2 linked regions of the Diceros bicornis minor genome follow. The protein of the gene in region 2 purifies or fractionates together with the protein of the main gene of each other region. This does not show direct contact. Links are inferred from orthologs where the notes say so. Each region holds a gene or a part of one and is shown on either strand. Other genes may lie near its edges.

Region 1 (9,962 bases), on a different chromosome or scaffold from region 2:
TTCGGATCCCGGGCGCACACCGACGCACCGCTTCTCTGGCCATGCTGAGGCTGCGTCTCACATACAGCAACTAGAAGGATGTGCAGCTATGACATACAACTATCTACTGGGGCTTTGGGGGAAAAAAAATAAATAAATAAAATTAAAAAAAAAATTAAAATGGACTCTCCTTTGATAGAGAAATACTATCACTCACAGGACATCTGAACTATTTTCCAAACAGAGGGCTGAGTTTTCACATATTCCTCTATTTCCACTTAAGAGTGTTACCCTCCATTTTGGAGACAGCTGTTCAAGCTCCTCTATATCCAATTTTATTTCCCACTAGTCCTGAACTCAGAGACTCCATTCTCTTGGGCCAAACCTCAGTGCTTCCTCCAGAGTTCACTCTGCCTTTGTATTATTCTGCTGACTCATCTCAAGTCTACCACCTTTACCCTCATTAATTCTCTCCTCCTCCAGGAAGTCCTTCCTGCTTGTTATAATGGTCCTTTTCTTTTTTCCTAGAGTGTTTAGAGCTTATACCATATAATTTAGCATATACTTATAGACTTTTGTTTTGTGACACTCCTCCAAACCACCACCAGGCAATGGTCCTTAACAATTAAACAAGTGGTGTTCCTCAGAACTAAAAATCATAATAAACAACACAAAAAACTGATTCATGGGCTCAAACCACAGAGGTTCTGATTCAGAAGGTCTAGGGTGGTGGACTGTTAAAAATCTCCCCAGGCAAGTCTGTGTGCAGCAGAGTTGAGAACTACTACAGGAGAATAATCCTTCTAAAGCAGGACAGGGAGTCTATCACCCCACCTGCTCAAAAACTTGCACTGGCTCCTTGGCTGCCCACCTAACAAAATGTAACCTCTACAGCTATGCATCAGACTCTTCACGACCAGGCCCCAATTTACCTTTCCTGCATCATTGCTCACCTCTTCTATATAAATATTTAAAGTCAGGTCAAACAAACTACACTGTTTTTCGTTCTCTTAATGGCCTTATCCCACCTCCACATTATTCTCTTTGTCTAGCTTGCTATCTTTTAGTATTACTTATGGTCCAAAACCTAGATTAATTGCTACCTGCCCCTCAATTCTTTATTCAGTAATCCCCTCTAGTCAGAAAAAAAGTTTCTCTCTCCTCTGTAGTCACTCATTCGTGCAGGCCTTATCACCACACTGTCTTGATAGAGGGATCCTGCTTTGTATATTTTTATATCCCTCAAAACACCCAGCACTGTGTTTACACAGCACATAGTAGGTGCTCAATTACTAGGTGATGGATGAAAGAAATATAATGGTTTTTCTCACCTATAGTTCTCACAGCCTCCTTGTGATCAGCCCTGAAAAGATTTATCCGACCATCTTCTCCAACTGTGACAATTTCTGGGTTGCTGCACACGATACCCGTGCAGGGTGCACTGCAACAGGAGGGGCTGCCTGGGCTCGTGTGGTAGTGAGCGGCCGTCCACTGCTGGCTGACTGACAGAGTCTGGGCATCAGAAACGAGCAGATGATTAACCAAAGCAAAGCTCTAAACACCTAGCACTTTTCCCCAACTCAAGAGTATTTTTAAATTCTGTCTCATACCCTTCGAGAAAAAGAATAACTCTCTCCTTTTTTGTTTGTATTTCCGAGTAATAAAGTCTAGAACTACTCTACAAAGCTCTGTATACACTGGATTAGATTCAAAATGAATGCTGCTCAATAATGTCCCACATTTATAGCAAACTATAATTTTATTTATTTATTTTTCCCCCAAAGCTCCAGTAGATAGTTGTATGTCATAGCTGCACATCCTTCTAGTTGCTGTATGTGGGACATGGCCTCAGCATGGCCGGAGAAGCGGTGCTTCGGTGTACGCCCGGGATCCGAACCCGGGCCACCAGCAGTGGAGCACGTGCACTTAACCGCTAAGCCACGGGGCTGGCCCAATATAGCAAAGTAAAGAAATGGGTTTTAGGTACCAGGTAGTCATGTGTTCAAAAGTAACTCTAAATTCTTAAGAGAATTAGCCTACATGTAAAAAATAACTCCCTGTAGTGCTTTCTAAATGACTCGATTCAGAAAAATATTTAACAAGATCTGGGTCTTATATTTACTACATATGCCTATCCACAAGGTGACCTTTATTAATCCAAAAATCTAAATAAGCACTCTCTTCTAGCAACTGAAAACTATTACTACAAGTGGGGCTATTGTAAAGATTTGCCCTCACTGCTACTCTTTGAAAGTGACCACTTGTGGGCTTCAGCATACACGAAAGGCATTGAAAAAGTGCCAAGTCTTCATAGAGTGTATCCTCTCTTCTAATTAAAACCTGGGTTCTATCCACAGAAGTAAAGTAGCTGTTCTTGTTCTCTCTCATGATACCTTAGCTAGAATGTGCTCTTTTTTTCTTCAAAAGATTAGAATAGAAACTTAAAACAGAGAATTACTGGAAAATCACTTGCCAGAATACCATATTGTTAGTTCTAAACTAACAGAATTTATTTAAGAGATGTCGAATTTCAATAAAAGCTCACACAAACATGGTTCTAGAATTAATCTACTAAAAGATAGGTAATATAATGGTGATATTTTTCCTCTCCATGTTTTCAGGCTATAAAACTTTTTATTTGTGTCATTAAGTACAGTCTTCTTTAAGCCTTCCTATAAATAATTAAAATACAAATTCAGTTTTCAAAAAAAGTTCTTTACCTGGTTATTTGGATGGTGAAGGAAAACTGTTACACATCCTGTTGATGAAGCAGCTACAATCCTTTCCTGGTCAAAAAACTAAACAGAAAATTCCTGCTCGTTATAGATTCAGAAATATTAGTAGTTTAACTCAGTAGTATAACAATTTTAAGATGTGAAGAGCTATAAATGCTAAGCAAATAAAATCTGATGATAGATCTGAAAGTCAAAACTGCTATACAAATAAAAGTATTTTCATGAAGAATAAATAACAATAATTTTTTCCCTAAACTCATTCACCTATAATTGATTTAATTTTGGACCACTACCGTAAAGGTTTAGAAAAGTATCATTCCAGGGTTAGGGAGCTTTCTACAGAATCAGGACTGCCAGGACTTTGAAGTCATGCAGACCAGGATTTAAAAACTTAATTCCATTGCCACCACTTACTACTGACTTTGAGACTGTCGCCAAGTTAAGTTCTCTAAGTCCTGGCAAACCTTTAAGAGGAAAGAACTAATCCTTACTTAGGGGGTTGTTATGAGAACTCAAAAAGCAAAACCTGTCAAGTGCCTTGCACAGTATTTGTCACATAGTACATGCCCAAAAGGTCTTAGTCTGTTTTCTCACTGGTAAAAGACATAATACCTGATTCACAAGCATGTGATGAGAATTAAACTAACTTATGTAAAGCTCCCAGAACAGTGCTTGGCACATAGCAGAAGGTCAGTTAATTAAAAAAAGGATTAAAAAACTATGCTTAAATCTACATCTCCTTCCCCAGTCATGATTTTGGCAAATCATAACCTATAGAGAACTCAGTCTCCTGTAAACCGGGGCGAGTCTAGACAAACTTTACGGTCCTTTGCGTCTCTCAATGTATTACTCTCCGCTCTTTAAGTTAGCTTTCGTACGTTCCACAGACTTACCTGTAAGTCCATCACGTCACCATGGTGTTTGATGTCACACAGTAACTGATGGTCTCCTTCAAACCCTCCATCAGAGTCCGAGTTCCCAAAATCGCCAATAGACCACAGGGAAACACGATTTTCCTGTAAAATAGACAGATTTATCCTGAGATGAAATCTACTTTAACCTCTCGGAAATTAAAATTCGCAATGCCTTCAAATAACCTTGCTTTAAAAGCATCTCAGAACAGTCTGGTGGTTACCAGGGGGAAGGGGGTTGGGAGGTGGGCACAAGGGGTGAAGGGGCGCATATATGTGGTGACTGACCAATAATAATGTACAAGTGGAATCGCACAGTGGTATCAACTATTATGACATCAATTTAAAAAAATAAAAAAAAAGCATCTCAGACAAAAGGCATGGTGACAGTTTAAATCACAACGAGATGCGAGGCCCAGGCGCACCGTCGATGGCTCGAGAGGCAGGGCAACCGAGACGGAGGCCGGGGGCAGAGAAGGGCGAGGGAGGCTGGGGCCAGGCGCGGTCCGGGAGACCGGGATGAGGCGGCGGTACCTCGTTGTCCCAAGAGCCCGTAGCGAAGGTCTCTGCGGTCTGCAGGCTCCCCGGAGGCACCGGCCGCCAGCGGGTTTTGCTGATTTTCTGAGACACAAACTTGGCATAAATCTCCTCCATGGCGACAGCGACCGCCTCAGGTACAGCGAGGAGCGCGCCGCGCGCCTCTCGGTCCCGCCCCTTCCCGCGCGGCCCTGATTGGCCCGCACTCGACGAGCGGACGGTGGCCGCGGAGAGCCAATCCTCCTCCGTCGGCGCTGCGGGCGCCACCAGCCCCTGCTCACCGAGGCGACCCCGAACAGAAGCAAGAGTGTACGGGCCTCGTGCTACAGGACCTGCTCTTAATGTGCACGCTCAGTGTAGTGACACTGAGACAGTGCATTTGTGCGATAATCGTGCACTGTAAAACAAACCGAAGAGCCAAAACAAAACGAAATCAATGCAAGAGAAGCCGCCTCAGAGCCACACCCAAGCATTCAGTCTTGCATTTCACTGCGCATAAAAGAGATTCAAAGTCCTTACATTGTCAAGGAAGTACGTCCATTAACGGACCAGTTTATTGTTCTAAACCTCTCCCTCTTTATCCCCCAAACAAATCCTTGTTAATACACTGTCAGAGCCTGGAGTTGGAATTCTGAAGACTCCAGTTCGAGTTTTGACACCCATTGCTTAGCTGTGTAACCTTCCTCAATTCATTTATGAATATAATTAAGAATGAGTTTGATATGTAACGTCGACAGCCCAGGAACCGGTGCTGTAGGTTCCCTCTTCTCTGCTTTTGATTACACCTATAATGTCCTTTTATTCCTCTCTCCTTCTCAGAATCTTGCTCATCCTTCAAGGACCAGTTCTGCCCTGTATCTTTTCCTTATTACTCCAGCCCATGCGATCTAAATTAACATAGCACTTGATATCTAGACCACTAATAGCACTTATATTTTGCCCTCTATTGCTAGTTTTCTTTGGGTGCAGATCTCCCCAATTAGAATGTAAATCCTATTGCATTCAAGACGTATTGTTACTGAACCAAGTGGGCTCGCCTCCTGGTGAGTCAAATAAGACTCTACACCAGTGGAAGTTCTTTTACAAAGTAAAGTGTATTTGCAGAGATGGGGGTGCTATGGAAGCCACCAGCCAGGAAGCATTAATGGGGCAAGTGCCCACTTTCTACTCACCAGAGCAATATCTAAACAGCTCACTTCCCCCAAGCAGTTCTTGATGACTGTGCGCCCTGTAGGGCCAGCCCAGGAACCCTGGGAGGCAGCAGACCCCCGAGGCTCTCAGCCTGGAGAAGACTGCTAGGGACCCAGAGGGAGTGGAGTGCCCTAATCCAACCAATGCGACAGGCAATGTTCCCTGTCAGCTTCTCGATCATTGTCTTGCACAGCTGATAGCAATAAAGCTGGTGTCCAGTCTAACAGCGGAAGGCTTAATTAGCTGAAAAGGCACACTCGTGTCGGGAGAATAACACATTCGCCATAGGATACTGTGGTATTTTTAACCAATTGCATTGTGCTAAGGAGCAGAGCATCCCCCACGCTCCACCCTACTCCATATGTCATGGTATTCTTCCACTCTGAATTTGTGCTTGAGAGTTGAGAACAAACCAAGGTCCCAAGGTCTCTGCTGACCACACACTGATGGACTTGTCACAAAGCCAGAGGCTAGAGTACCCGGGTTAGAAAAGGTTCTACCAAGATTAATCAGGCTCAGACGGTAACCGACCTATGCATTAGTCAACTGGGTTGGGTGAGGTAGGACGGAGGAAACCCACCGTCTAACAATCTGGACGGCTATAGGAGCAGACCCGCCGCTCGCAGCAGCTGACCCCGCGCGACTGCGGAGCCTCCGCAGCGGCAGAACCAGATCGGCCCAGCTGCCCCGCCACCGCCCCAGGTGACCAGAGCCGCAGCCGGGCACGCGCCCGGCCGCGCCGGTGCCCACCCGCCTGGCCGCAGGCCACCCGGCAAGGAGACGGCGCGCGGCGGCGGGGGGCTGACTCAGCCCGGCCGGGCTGCCGCAGCGGCCACCAGCGCGGGCGGCGGGGCACGTGGCCGCGCCCCCCCCCACCCGGCCGCGCCCCGGTGGGGCGTCACAGAGCGCATGCGTGCCGCGGGGGATGCCGGGAGCGCGCAGTGGCGGCGGCGGGGGCGACGGCAGTCACAGCGGCGGCGACATCGGGGACGCGAGCAGGGCGGTGACTGTGTGGGAGGTGTTTTCACTCTTGGGGAAGCTGCTGGGCACCGTCGCCGCGCTGAAGGTCGTTCTGTTCCTGCTCCGGGTGTGCTTAGCGATGGCCTGGAAGTCCGGCGGCGCCAGCCACTCGGAGCTGATCCACAACCTCCGCAGTAAGTGCCACCCCGCCGTCCGGAACGTTCTGTCTGCGCCGCGCTGCCTACTGGAGGGCCGCGGCGGAGCGTTGCACCAACCGTCCCGGGCGGCGTGCGCGTGCGGCCGCCTCCCCCGGGACCTGTCACTCTCTCTCCTCGGGAGGGGACAGACAGGGGCCGGGGCCGCTGCCAGAGGGGCGGGGGGCGGCGTGGCGCCGCGGGAAGGGGGGCCGGCACAGGTGGCGGGCTGTCACTCGAGTCCACCGCCTCTCGTCGGGTCCGGCGGGCGGGGGCGTGCCCCGGGGTGGGGGATGCGGGCCGGCCCCCGCTCCTCCTCGCCTTCCTTCTGCTGCGGGAGCGCCCTCTCTCCTGTCCTCCTCCCCCGCCCCCCGTTCTTTCTTCCGGGTGAGGTACCGGCGCGGGGAGGGAGGGGAGAGGATTGTCACTGCGGATGCTGGAGAAAGTTCTGGGGCGCTGTCCACTGGCAGGCTTCGTGGGGGTCGGAGGGGGCAGTGGTCAGGAGATGCTGTTCCTAGGAGGCTTGTTTCATCCTGAGATCCAATCAGCAGTCGTGCATGTGGATGCTCTGCCTTCTTCCAGGCCCCGTGGGCTTTACAAGCCTTGCCGGCAGGTCTTCCTGTACCGTTCTCGTTGGTTATTGTATTCCTTCCTCTGCTGATCATTTCGGGGTGGGGTGAATGCTGTGTCACTTTATTTTTTTACGTTGCAATACAGTGTCGCCCACTGGTCGGGAGACCAGAAGAACCGCAATCCGTACCACTCTCACTCCGGTCAGAGCTGATAGCACTCTCTTTGCCACAACTTGCGAATAATCATATCCTGCTATGTGTCATATGTTATTTAGCTTTTCATGTGTTTATGTTTCCTAATTCGATTTGTGACCTCCTTGAGGGCAGGGACTTTTTTTTTGTAAATATCTTTGAATCCTATCAAAGAACTTAATACTCATTTCTTTTTTCATTTGTGCCAATTAAATGTACACTATATGCTTGGATCTGTGCTAGGAATAGTAAGATGAGCGACAAATAGTACTGTCTGGCACACGGTTAATACTTAACATTAGTCATTTGACTTTTTTTTTTTTACAATATTTAAAATTTGGAAATTGTGTCCTTACTGTTTAGTAATGAAGAATATTTAGATTTCAGAATCCTGTCGAGCATTGCCAGTGTTCACTTTATGAAAGGATATTTGATTGGGAGTGGACATTTATATGCTGAGGCAGTATTATGAAGTGTGATGTAGATTCCTATGGATTGCATGTAAGCTCATTATGTTGTAAATATTTTAATAAAATTTCTTAAAATGATCTGCTGCCTTATATTGTGGTGTGCTTACTGGAAACCTTCTATACAAGAATTGTGACTAAGTAATTTTCCACCAGTAGGTTATCGCAGTAGCCACTTGGCTGTGGCAGGAATTTGTAATCAATCAGGCTCTTAAAATCTTTTTTTTTGGGCCAAATTTGTAGTAAGCCAAGACTAGATCTTTTCCCAGTGGTTTTATAATCACTTTAATATATTGCATTACCATTCTTAGCTGAAATTTCTAAGGATATTTTTCTATCTGAAAATTTAATAAATATTTAATATACATGCTGGTATTGCAAATATTTAGTTTTATACTAGGTCTGTGATTGGTAAGAGGAAATTAGAGTACTCAAATTGTTTAGCCTGTTTTGTAACACTTGTGCAACTTTAATTTCAACTTCTTGCTGAATTAATTCTAGCTAATAGACTTTATTTTTATTTATTAGTTTATTATAAAAGTAACATTTGCTCATGTGAAAATTTCAGTTGGCATAAAATTTGAAAATTTCTCCCTCTTTCCAGGTTATTCCACTGTTGTGTATTCTTCCTAACTTAAAGCTTCTAATTGAATTTTTAGGGAAAAATTAAAATGTGAAATGTTGATGTTGAAGTGAAAAGGGATCTACAAATTGGAAGAGGAAGCAAATTACAGTTTTAATTTTTTTTTTAAAGACATGAAGTTCAGGTTTGGTTTAGTTTTAATGTTATTTTAATAATTTTATTGAAAGTTTCTACTGAGTTTTTCTTTTATAAGACATCATAGTAGAACTATGCTTGTGTATGATTTCATAGTTGATATATCATGTATAGAATATTTTAGACTGTAATGGTACATCTTGTAATACCTCGTAGCTTATGATGACAACTGCTCTGAAATAACTTAGAACAATGATCTAAAACTTGAGCATGCTTCAGAATCTCTTGGGTCACCTGGAGAGGTTGTTAAAATACAGATTGCTGGGGCTCAAGAATTTGTATTTCTAACAAGTTCCTAAGTAATGCTGCTGCTGCTAGTCCAGGGACCACACTTTGAGAATCACTGATGTAGAGAATTGAAAATTACAAGGTTGAATTCTGCCAGTGTTTCAGCTGAATCAGTTTTATGCTTTAAAATAAAGTTTTAGGAAAAAGGCCTATAGCAGTCCTGCCCAATAGAACTCTCTGTAATGTCTGTGCTGTTCAATATGAGCCTTTGAAATGTGGTTAATACCACTGAGGAACTGGATGTTTGTGTTATGTAGATTAACTTAATTAAATAGCCACATGTGGCTAGTGGTTACCATATTGGACAGTGCAGCTCTATAGAAATGCAAAATATAGTTTTATAATTATGGGCTGATAATGTGCTCATGAAACGAATTAAATTTAAAACAACTGTGAGCCTACTTAATCCAGGGAATGTGACAGTTTACATAATGTTTATATTAGAGTTTATTTTCTACTTTTCTTGGGATAATTTCAAGCCGTAGTGAAAGGAAAAGAGGGGGGTAGGAGTGGGTGAGGTTGAGAGAGGTCCTTTCCTAGAGCAGGGGTGTCTGAACCCCTGTGGAAGCGTCCCATTTGTGGAAGGTCAGCTCTTAACTAATAGACTTCAAATGCTGTGCGGGACACTTAAAACAATGCTAACAATTGTTCTTTTACCTATTTTTTTTTAAATCCGCTACCCTAATGCATCATTTCTTCTTTTTTTTAAATTTTTTGTTTATTGCAGTAACATTGGTTTATAACGTTGTATAAATTTCAGGCATACATCATTATACTTGTATTTCTGCACGGATTACATCATGTTCTCATGTTCACCACCCAAACACTAATTACAATCCATCACCACACACATGTGCCTAATTATCCCTTTCGCCCTCCTCCCTCCCCTCTTACCCTCTGGTAACCAACCAATGCAATCTCTCTCTCTGTGTTTGTTTATTGTTGTTTGCGTCTTTATTTCTACTTATGTTTCCTTTGCATCCTTGATTGTGTCGTTTTGCATATGTAATGTTTATAGGATTTGTCATTCAGTCAACTGATATTTGACTGTCTTCTAAATGCCAGACACTGGGGATACAGCAGTGAACAAAGCAAACACCCATTCTGTCTGTAGGTTACTTCCAACGGGAGCAGACAGGTAAAATACATAGCATGTTA
Region 2 (10,713 bases):
CCAAATACAGGAGAACCGTTTTTATCTTGTTTTTGGAACTAAATGTGCTATAGTACTCTACTACTCCAACAAAACTCTTCTGTTTTCTTCTTAGTTAGATACAATTCTTTCATTTCCTACTGGGTATTTTAAACACCTGGGTCAAGTCATTCTGCACCACAGTTTACATGACTTTTCTTCTTTTAAATACAGTACCATAGTGATTCCTAAAGAATGTCTCATCCACTTTTTCCAAAATTTTCTCTTTTCTTTCCTTTACTGCATTGTCTCTCTTCCTTATAATACTCTTCACCAAATACTCGTGGCTTCCTACTCTTCTATGCTTCAAAACAGGGCTCAGCTTTTATAGTCATCAGCAACCACTCAGAATTTATTTCTTCTGATCAGCAAACTGTCAGATTAACACCTTATCTGCATCTAAATGTTGCTGGTGTCACAGCTTCAACCTGTGACATGAGATGCTTAAGGGTTTCAGTTTTCTGAAAGTCTGACCAAAAAATTATTTCAAGCCATATAACCTAGTTACTTTTATGATGAATATGACTTCAATTCTCATTAAAGGCTTTTAAGCTACATATTTTTATAAAAAGGGAGAAAAATTCAGCCCCATTTTTCTACATACCATAGACAAATTTCCCAAGAACCCTGAAGACTGTGTAAGCCGGGGAGACCTCCCTCCTGTTCCAAGAATGCAGGAGACATCCGGCTGCCTTAGCAAGCTTCGATTCGGTGGAGTAACTACAAACAAGAGGTTAGTAAAAAGAACCCCAAAGTGCATGAGCACTGATCATGAAAACAAAACAAGCAAACAAACAATAAAGAATAAATAATTTTCCGTTTTCAATTATTTACAGTCTAACCAAATAAATACTTTAATGTTAATATTTCCATGATATGAAGATTTAACTTATTTTCCTAAATTTGAGCTTTTGGTATTACTGAGCTCATTAGGAAAATTTTACTGCAAATAGAGATGTTTCCATTATAACATAACTGAGCACTAAAACAAGGACATAAGTGAGTCAATGGATTCTATTTTACAAAGCATACTGAGGAGGCAGTATATCTCGGAGGTCATGGGCTTTGGAGTAAGCAGATCACTGTGGGAATACTGGTTCCATTAATTACATACTTACTTAGCTATGTTATCTGCATTAACTTCTCTAAGTCTTACTTTCAGTTTTGGCAAAATAGAGATAATACCTATGTCATAGTTACCGTGCATTTGCGTAAGTACAGTGCCTGAAACATGGTTAAGAGTGCAACAAATAGTCACTACAATCATTGTTATTGTTCTTAATTATTGATACTGCAACCAAATGTTATATTTATTATGTGTATTATAAGAGTTAGCTGCTATTATTATTCTTATTAAATGCTTTAAAAGCAAAAAACCTTACAGGGTGGTCGAAATGAGCTGGGAGTTTGAGGGATACCCTGGTTTCTTGGTGTAGTATTGGCAAAAATTTCATCTTGGGATGCCCGAACTGTGGGAAGAGTTAAGAAAGTTTTCCATGCAGAAAAGACACCATTCAAGTTAGAACTAACCATATTTACACTATAAAAAATATGTGAATACATTTTTCAAAACCAAGGTATTTTATGGCTACCATTTTCTCTATGCCAAGAGTAAATAATTCCCTCTACGATTTAAATTCTCAGATATCAGTCTTTTTTGTGTGTGTGTGAGGAAGATCAGCTCTGAGCTAACATCCGATGCCAATCCTCCTCTTTTATTTTTTTGCTGAGGAAGGCTGGCCCTGAGCTAACATCTGTGCCCAGCTTCCTCCACTTTATATGGGATGCCACCACAGCATGGCCTGACAAGTGGTGCGTCGGTGTTCGCCTGGGATCCGAACCTGCGAACCCCAGGCCGCTGAAGCAGAGTGCGTGCACTTAAACCGCTTGCGCCACCAGGCCGGCCCCAGATATCAGTCTTAAGATTACTACACACTGAACTAAGAGTTCTCAGTCAGATTTCAAATAAAAAAAAGATGTCTAATCTCAGCAGAAGCTAACCACAATATGATAGCAGTAAAATGGAACATCTTTATTTTCAGGAAAACATAAATCTTAATTTCATTGAATTTCAGCATTATATTTGCCAAATAACATATCTGGAGAGTTGAAAAAACTAATTTCCACAGCATTTTATTATTATAGCTAGTGTTTAATACCTCTCACACACAAAAAATCTATAATCCTGATTCCAAACATGTTGCAGTTTTTTTAATAATGATGCTTAAAGCACAAAGGATACTTAGAACTCTTTTTTGAGCACTCTGTTTCCGTGCAGTCCGTGTCACCTCCGCCTCCCGGATCACAGGGGATGACATTTCTCCAAAGCCACTCCTAAAATGGCATAATCAAGCTCATGTAAATGAAATCAGAATGCAGCATTTGCAAAGAACTTTATCATCATGATTGGAGCAAAGAACCCTGAGTCAGTCAAGGTACAAATCATCCCAGGAGCCAAGTCTTTGATCATTTTGTTGACAATACCCTTCTGGCTCCAAATCCTGCTTCTCCCTCCAAGTCTCTCTCCAATTTTACCTGCACAAAGGCTTCTCTGACTTTCTGGCATTCACTGTGGTATTTTCTCCTTTGGAATTATTTCAACACTTGGAATCTATATTATAACACTGTTTTAGATAACCGCCTCACGAAGGTCAATCTTTCCTCTGATGGATTGAGGAGTTCCCTAAAATTTCAGGAACAATCTCTTAAAAGGATCTCCTATAGTCTCCAAGATACTTCAAACCATAGGTACTATGAAAAAATCTGTTGTTTGAGCTGGTGAGATGGGAAGATAGTAAAAAACCAATTCTAGTAAACTGGAGAGAAATGATCCTTCCAGTTATTTCTCCCCAGAGTACACTGAGGGTTCTCCTGTCTCAGCACTATTGTGGTCACAATGCTTCAGCCCTCCCCTGTCACTCTCAGACCAAGATCTACAAAATAAACTGTGTGAATTAGGAGACTTGTATTTTAAGTCAACAATCCAATATGCTTTTCCTCCACTTCAATCCTTCAGATAGCTACCTCTGGCCTACAGACTCAAGTCCACGGTTTTTACACCTGACCTCAAACTTATCAGTTCAGTCACAAACATCACCCCCATACAAACATATACAGCATGTGACTATTCAGCTACACAAAGCATGCAGTTTCATATTCTTACCTTTTCTTTTACCGGGGCCTATGTTTGCCCCCTTGGCCCACCTGGTGAACACTTGCTTACTCATCAAACAGCCTCCTGCAGTCTGCAGACACACAGCCAGGCTGGCAACTTGGTTCTTCTATTTACTAGCTTCCTAACCTTGACCCAGTTCCTTATCCTCTTTCAGCCCCAGTGTTACCTATGAGAAGAGGATCGTAGCACCCATCCTCATAGGACTGGTATGAAGATTCAATTAGCTAATACTACACGAAAAGGGTTTAAGACACTCGATGTCGGCTGCTATTATCATTCAAAGACCAACTAGAAAGTCGGCTCCTTTGGGAGGTCTTCCTGAAACCGCCCCCTCGTCTCCCCCCACAGCGCAGCAGGAAACACTTCTCACTTCGTGCTGCGCGGTAGTCTCCCGCACCACACAAGAACTCGCATAACTCATCTGCGTCGCAGGCGGCTAGCAGCGCCAGGGTCACAGAGAACTCAAGTCAGTGGCTGTCCGCTGCTGGAGCTGCGGTCAGCAAGCCTGGGCTGCGGTCCCCGTTCTCGCCGACTGGCCGGGACCTCGCAGGGCACGCAGCATCTCCTCCCACCCCGCCCCCCAGGAGCGGGAAACGGGAGAAAGAGCACAAGAGACGGCGGAGCCGCCGCGGGGACGCGGGGACTGTGGCCAGCCGTGTCCCCCCGACCCCGGCTGCAGTCTCCCCGCCGGGGAAGGAGGCCTGGGCAGCACCCGGCCCTCCCGGCTTCCTCTGCGCGTCGGGGGTCACCTATTTCGCTCTGCTGACAAGCAGGAGGGACAAGTCTCCCAGCTCAGCCGTCACCACCGCAACTGACCTGTCCATGGCTACAGCCTGCCCCACCGAGAGCCTTGCAGTCTCGGCTCCAGCTTAGCCACCGCGTTTCAGCCTTCCCGCTCTCCGGAAGCAAATCCTTCGACCCGGAAGTATGTCCTCGCTAAGCCGCCGTAGAGAAAAGACGTGGGGGGAGGGGGGACGGCGACCAACTTTCTCATCGAGCGCATGCGCACCTTCTTCCGCCTGCAGCCGCAGATCCGACCTGCGCAGGCGCGAAAGTGTGCTAGCGTGTGAAGACGATGCGGGGGGCCGGGCCGGGCCGGGCCGGGGCAGGGCCGGGCCAGTGACGCGCCGCCGCCACTGCCTGACTGACATGTGTGGGCGTGGCCCCGGCGCCGGGGTGTCCTATGGGAAACGGCGTCGGCTGACGGTCCAGGAAGACGTGCAGTCACTTCCGGGTGTTCTCTGTGAGAGGGGCCGGGGCCGGGGACAGGGGCTCTCGCTTGTGTGCGTCGTGTCTGTGGAGCTGTTACCGTGATGGCTCCTTGTCTTCACTGGGTGTCTTCCTCTTAAGGAGAAAGGGCTCCTCTTTAGCAAGGACGAGCTTTGGGGCAAAGCGTTGGCCAGCGTTAGTTCATGTGCAGCGCTTGTTGGAGAGGGGCCCGGGTCACGTCTACACAGTCAGCACACGCGCAGCGAATGTTTCAAAATGTAGTCATGTCAGCGCCTTAAAGCTCTATGGGACGAACTCCTGTGTGGTGCGCGTCGTGTACATCCCAGCCTCGTTGTAGGGCCCTGCGTTTCCTGACATGCACTGCGGCTACCTGGAGGAGGAGAGAATGTTCTAGAAGCCTGTCCGGCGCCCACGGAATGGTTCAGAAGCTGGAGGAGAGGCCAGGAAGCGGCGCCCGAGCGCCCCCCCACCCCCCCCCACCCCCACAGCGCCCCTGTAGCGCCCCGAGCCGGGCCGTGTGGAGAGAGCGCCCCCTCGCTCGCCCCCCTTCTCCTGCGCCCCCCCCGCCCCCACAGCAGAGGGGAGCAGACGTGACCTTGTCTTCCCCGACTGTTCGTTTTGAAAACTTGGAGACTACAGAAAGCTGTAGCGACAGCACGACAGGCGTCGATGCGCTCCTCCCTGGCCCCCCCCCCACTGCTAACATCGCCCCACGACTGTTCTCCCCTTTTTTGCCTGAGCCGTTTGCAAGTTAGTTGTAGCCGTCTTGACGCTTCACCCCAAAGCCTTCAGACTTCCCGAGTCAAGGACAAAACGTCGTGCCCCCAGTACGGTAAAACACGCGCCGGGAACGTCTCCCGCTGACGGAGTCCCGTCACCGACGTGTTCAGACCTGCCCCGTTGTCTGATAACGGCCCGTACGGAGCCCCCCTCCAGCGCGGGACCTGGCGGGGCGGGGTGCGTCGGTTGTCGCGTCTCCGTATTCTGCTCTCGTTTGGAACAGTCCCCTAGACTTTTCTTTTAAATCATTAATATTTCCAAGAGTTCAGGCCAATTTTTCCAGAATGTTCCTCAGTTTGGATTTGTCCGATGTGTTCTGAGGACAGGCACTTGATGAACGTTTGGAGGGACGCGGCGCGGGAGGCTGCCCAGGAGCTGCCCGGGTTTCACTGGATGCCCTGGAGGCACGTGAGGTCGGCGTGTCTGTTCCAGAAGCCCCCTAACCCTCCGTCCTCACAGGAAAGCGTCCTTTCCAGCTGTCTCTGCTCGGCGCTCTTCCCAGCCAAACCTGTGTTTTGGTAAACTGTGATGAGCTGTTTGCTGGTGTTCTTACCATAAATCCAATGGATGTGGCGATTACAGAACGGTAAGATAACAGACATAAGCAAATAGAGAAATTAAAGAATTCCCAGGCCGGCCTGCGGCTTAGCGGTTAAGTGCGTGCGCTCCGCTGCTGGCGGCCCGGGTTCGGATCCCAGACGCGCACCGACGCACCGCTTCTCCTGCGGTGCTGAGGCCACGTCCCACATACAGCAACTAGAGGGATGTGCAACTATGACGTACAGCTACTGGGGCTTTGGGGAGAAAAAAAGGAGGAGGATTGGCAATGGATGTTAGCTCAGAGCCGGTCTTCCTCAGCAAAAAGAAGAGGATTAGCATGGATGTTAGCTCAGGGCTGATCTTCCTCATAAAATAAATAAATAAATAAAATAAATACATTGTTAAAAAAGAAATTCCCATGATTCCATTATCTATATCTGACTACAGTCCCGTGAGAGACTCATCGGAACCACCTGGTGGGGTCCAGTGGACCCGCAGAGCCCAGCAAGTTGATGGTGTCTGACGCCACTCTGTCGGGGTGGCCTGCTGCGCCGCAATCCGTAGGGGAGCAAGTGGGGTCGTACTGTAAGAGTGTTATAGTCTGCTTTTTCACTTAACAGTGTGAGCGTCTTATCATATCAAATATCATTCATCTACATCGGGCTCAATTTAGGCAGACGTTGAAGGCGTAACCTTCCTTTTTGTCTCCGTTTACATTTACCGTGCAACCTAGTGCAGTCTGACCTCCGCCCTCGCTGCTGAGTGAAAACTGCTGGAAAAGGTCGCCAGTGATCCTCTGTCAGTGGAAGTTTGTTTTTCATTCCCCATCCTCTGTGGAACACTTGACACCCTAGACCGCTCTCCTCGCTGCCACCCTCCTGCCCCTCCCTGGCATGCCTTTACTCGGCTTCTGCTTCCTTCTGGCTTCTCTCCACTAGTCTCCTCCGTAGGCTCTTGAACTCTGCCCTTCCCTTAAACGTCAACTGATCTTCCCCAGAACTCTGCCCATCTACTTCCTACTAGATCCCAGCTTGGAGTTGTACCCCTGCCTTGCTTTTGTATTCCAGACTCACTGCACCCACTTGCTTCCTGGACGTGCCCACTCTTGAGGATACAGAGTATGTGAAATGTCACGTGTGCTAACTCTAAATTTGGACCCAGCAGGCCTACCCCTCCCTCACTTCCCACCGAAACAACCTCACAACTACAACCATACCTCTCCTCCTGTATTTGCCGTCTTAGCAAGTGGCGACATCCAGTTACCCAAGCCAAAAATCTGGAATCTACTCTCAATAGGACTGAAGTTTCACAAGGGTAGACGTCTTTATCTGTTTTGCTTGGGGTTGTATCCCTTTAAATATCGGTCTATCGGGCCGACCAGGTGGCGTGAGCGGTTAAGTGCGCACTCCGCTGCGGCGGCCTGTGGTTCACTAGTTCGGATCCCGGGCGTGCACCAACTCACTGCTTGGCAAGCCATGCTGTGGCGGCGTCCCATATAAAGTGGAGGAAGATGGGCATGGATGTTAGCCTAGGGCCAGTCTTCCTCAAACAAAACAAAACAAAACAAAAAATCAGGATTGGCAGATGTTAGCACAGGGCTGATCTCATAAATATCGGTCCATCAGTGATTCTCCTCTCATTCCCCACGTCTGCTTTGTTACCAAATCTTCAATCTGTCTTCCCATTTCCACTGCTACTTTCTTGTGCCTGACTCATCATCTCTTCACTGTAGCTCCTCCAACTGCACTTTTTTCTCCATATTGCTAAGAGAGTGTCTTCCAAAAATGCAAATCTGATCATGTCACTCACCTTTCAGTTTCCTCCTGATTTTAATTTTAACTCCAAACTACTTGACTCAGCCTTCAGCATCTCATTTGCCTGTCTGGCATCGTCTTGCCATTGTCTCTAGCTCAAATTCGATACTCCAGCTGTATTCAACTACAGTTCCCCAAACATTCTGTGGCCATTTGGCGGATGTTCCTCACTCCTACCAAACAGAGGCAGAGAGGGAATAAACCAATGCCCACATCATAGACTGCTATGCAGTCATTAAAAGGCTGTTTAGAGAGAGTTTGTAATAATTTGGAAATGTTTGTTTTGCTTTAAATGAGGGAAACAGGTTGTCATATAGTATGTAACGTTATGCTCAGAAACAATGTAAAAATGCATAAAGAAATACTGAAGCCCGGGGTGGGGTCATGGTGATAAAGGGATGAATAGGCAGATCACAGAGGTTTTCCAGGGCAGTAAAAACACTCAGTATGATACTATAATGGTGGATACATGTCATATATATTTGTCCAAACCCATAGAATGTACAACACCAAGAGTGAACCCTATGTAAACTATGGACTTTGGGTGATTGTGATGTGTTAATGTGGGTTCACTGATTATAACAAATGTTCCACCCTGGTGGGGGATGTGGATAAGGGGGGAGGCTATGATGTGTGGGGACGGGGGGTGGGTATATGGGAAATCTCTGTACCTTTCTCTCAATTTTGCTGTGAACCTAAAACTGCTCTAAAAAAATGAAGTCTTTTTAAAAAAAATCTGAATGAAGATCATACCAAATGTTGATTGTGGTTGTCTTTGGTGAAACTAGATGATTTTATTGTTTTATTTAAAGCAACTTATTTTCATAGCATGGTCCAATTGAAATTCAAAGGAATATTTTAATAAATTCATTAAGAATTCCAGTGAGTCAGATATGAATCTAGTGAATTAAGTTATGGTAGGTGCTTAATTCTTTTTTCCATGTCCAAAAGATAGAAGAATTTTGAATACAGTTGTAGGATACACTGCAGCTTATATAAAACAAAAGGAAGTACTTAGATTATTAGCAGTTTGTTCAGATATGAGATGGTCTTGGGTTTTTTAAGTTTTATTTTAATATTTGGGGAGTAGTTTTATTCTTCTGTCGGTTGTCATACTGTGGCAGCTGCATGTTGCTCTGATGCTGAAAGCTCTACCACTGGGATTTCAAATACCAGCAGGGTCAGCCATGGCGGGCAGGTTTCAGTGGAGCTTCCAGACTAAGACTCGGAAGAAGGACCTGGCCACCTACTTCTGAAAAAACTGGCCATGAAAACCCTATGAATAGCAGAGGAGGATTGTCTGATAGAGTGCCACAAGGTGAGAGGATAGTGCAGAGAGACCGGGCAGGGTTACACAGGGTCACTGGGAGTCGGAATCCACTCGACAGCACTAACAACAACGAGTTTTCTTCTTTGAGCTCAAAACATTGCAAACATGCTATTATAATTTCATAATGTTCTTTTTATCTAAAGAAGCAGAATTGCAGAAAGATGAAATAATTTACTTTAGATCATGGACTTAAAGTAATTGAACCACAAGCTAAAAGTATAGTAAATAGTGAATCGTGAATTGAATACAAATACCAGTGTTTGGCTGAACCGTGAACCGACCACCATGTGTAGGTTTTAAAACACGGCTTGGCTCAGGAGACAATGTTGCCTGGAGGGTAGGAGCACTGTCTTAGAAATTTCCTGGTTTGAATCTCAGTTCTGCAGTTTATCATCTGTTTAACTGCTCTAAACCTCATCTGTGTAAGTAAGAATAATCTCTTGGGGTAGCTGTGAGGACTAAATGTAACAATAGCAACAGAGCAAAGTGGTCAAAAGCCCAGACTTGATTGCCTGGGGACGCATCCCAGCTCCACGACTTATTAGCTGTGTGAACTTGGGTGCAAGTCTGTGCCTCAGTTTCTTCTTTTTGGGTGTAATAATAGTACTACACCATAAGGTTGTTGTGAGGATTTAATATGTGCAAAGCTTAGAAGAGTACCGGGCATTATGAATGGCATATTATACCTTTTCAAACAATCTTATTACTTTCATAATAATTATCAGTTCATTTTGCAACATCAAACTTGAGACCTAGCGATAGAGGCATTAGTAACAGATTGAACTGAACTAATTCCAATCCTTTTTTTCTATGATGCTGAAATAATAGCAGAAGGATTTTTTCCTTGTCTATATGAACTCAAAATAATACTTCATATTGATAAATATAAATATGATTGCAAAGTCTCCTTTTGTTCTTCATATAAAGCAGTTCAGTGGTTATAATCCTGAAGAATCCTTTACTCATCCATTCACAAACATTTGTTAAGTGTCTGCAATGTACCGGGCACTGTGATTGGACCTGGGAGAGATAGACTGGGGGAAAAAGAACATTACTTATAAAAAAAAATCGTGTGAACTTACCTATTCAAACATACTGATTTGATCATAGCATGGAATACATAAATATTTTAAATCAAATAAAATTTGGCCATTATTTTCTTAAAATATCCTTACTTAAAACCCGTTTTGAGGTAAAACTGTTACGTCTTGCCAATTGATATTAGTGCTTGGTTGGCAATGTTTTATTCTTTTTTCCCCCTTGATGTCGACCAGCTCTTTTCTTTTTTTACTTTTTAAAATTGTGGTAACATATACATAACATAAAATTTACCATTTTAGCCATTTTTAAGTGTGCAGTTCAGTGGCATAAAGTACATTCACATTGTTGTGCAAGGCAATGTTTTAGTTTTAGACATATATGTAATATGTATATATGCATCAAAATCAACCCAAAATGATTTTTTATTTAATCCAGCTTCCCGCTCAAGATGTATTAGAGCTTGGTAATCAGAATGAAATTTTGACAAACATTTTATGCATAAACAGCAGTGATATTGCAAAGTAGTTAAACATCAGTGATGTGAAGTGAAACAGACCTTTGCATGTATTCTAGGGGGAATCCAAGATGAGAGTTTGGTCCGGATAGATCAGGCAGTAAAAAAGGTAGAAAACAATGTTACACTTCAAGAAGAGGAAGTTCATGAGTTGGGGAGGAAACAAAATATTTAAGTGTGAAGCGAAAACTGCCAGTGCCCTGGAAGATTCGTATGTGTTATTTGATCTTCACCTACAGGAGAAAAGCTAATGGAAGGACTCAGTGAGACA

The links. Proteins that work in one complex are often made in the same cells at the same time.
Region 1: the proteins of NUP107 (region 2) and NUP43 purify together in Homo sapiens (affinity purification with mass spectrometry; 8 studies listed by BioGRID and IntAct, counting the BioPlex papers as one, with this or other methods). This does not show direct contact. The link is inferred for Diceros bicornis minor from reciprocal best matches to the Homo sapiens genes NUP107 and NUP43.

Annotation. Positions count from the first base shown.
Region 1 is NC_080778.1:28,160,814-28,170,775, forward strand, and holds the start of NUP43 (nucleoporin Nup43), read right to left. Parts: upstream 4,307-9,962; 5' UTR 4,280-4,306; coding exon 4,160-4,279; intron 3,731-4,159; coding exon 3,608-3,730; intron 2,778-3,607; coding exon 2,700-2,777; intron 1,492-2,699; coding exon 1,311-1,491; intron 1-1,310. Other genes in the region: PCMT1 (protein-L-isoaspartate(D-aspartate) O-methyltransferase), read left to right, coding at 6,279-6,507. UniProt on the Homo sapiens protein: Component of the Nup107-160 subcomplex of the nuclear pore complex (NPC). The Nup107-160 subcomplex is required for the assembly of a functional NPC.
Region 2 is NC_080756.1:2,508,633-2,519,345, forward strand, and holds the start of NUP107 (nuclear pore complex protein Nup107), read right to left. Parts: upstream 4,160-10,713; 5' UTR 4,018-4,159; coding exon 4,010-4,017; intron 3,360-4,009; exon of another isoform or gene 3,182-3,359; intron 2,702-3,181; exon of another isoform or gene 2,554-2,701; intron 2,353-2,553; coding exon 2,261-2,352; intron 1,488-2,260; coding exon 1,401-1,487; intron 769-1,400; coding exon of another isoform or gene 739-768; coding exon 623-738; intron 1-622. UniProt on the Homo sapiens protein: Plays a role in the nuclear pore complex (NPC) assembly and/or maintenance. Required for the assembly of peripheral proteins into the NPC. May anchor NUP62 to the NPC. Involved in nephrogenesis.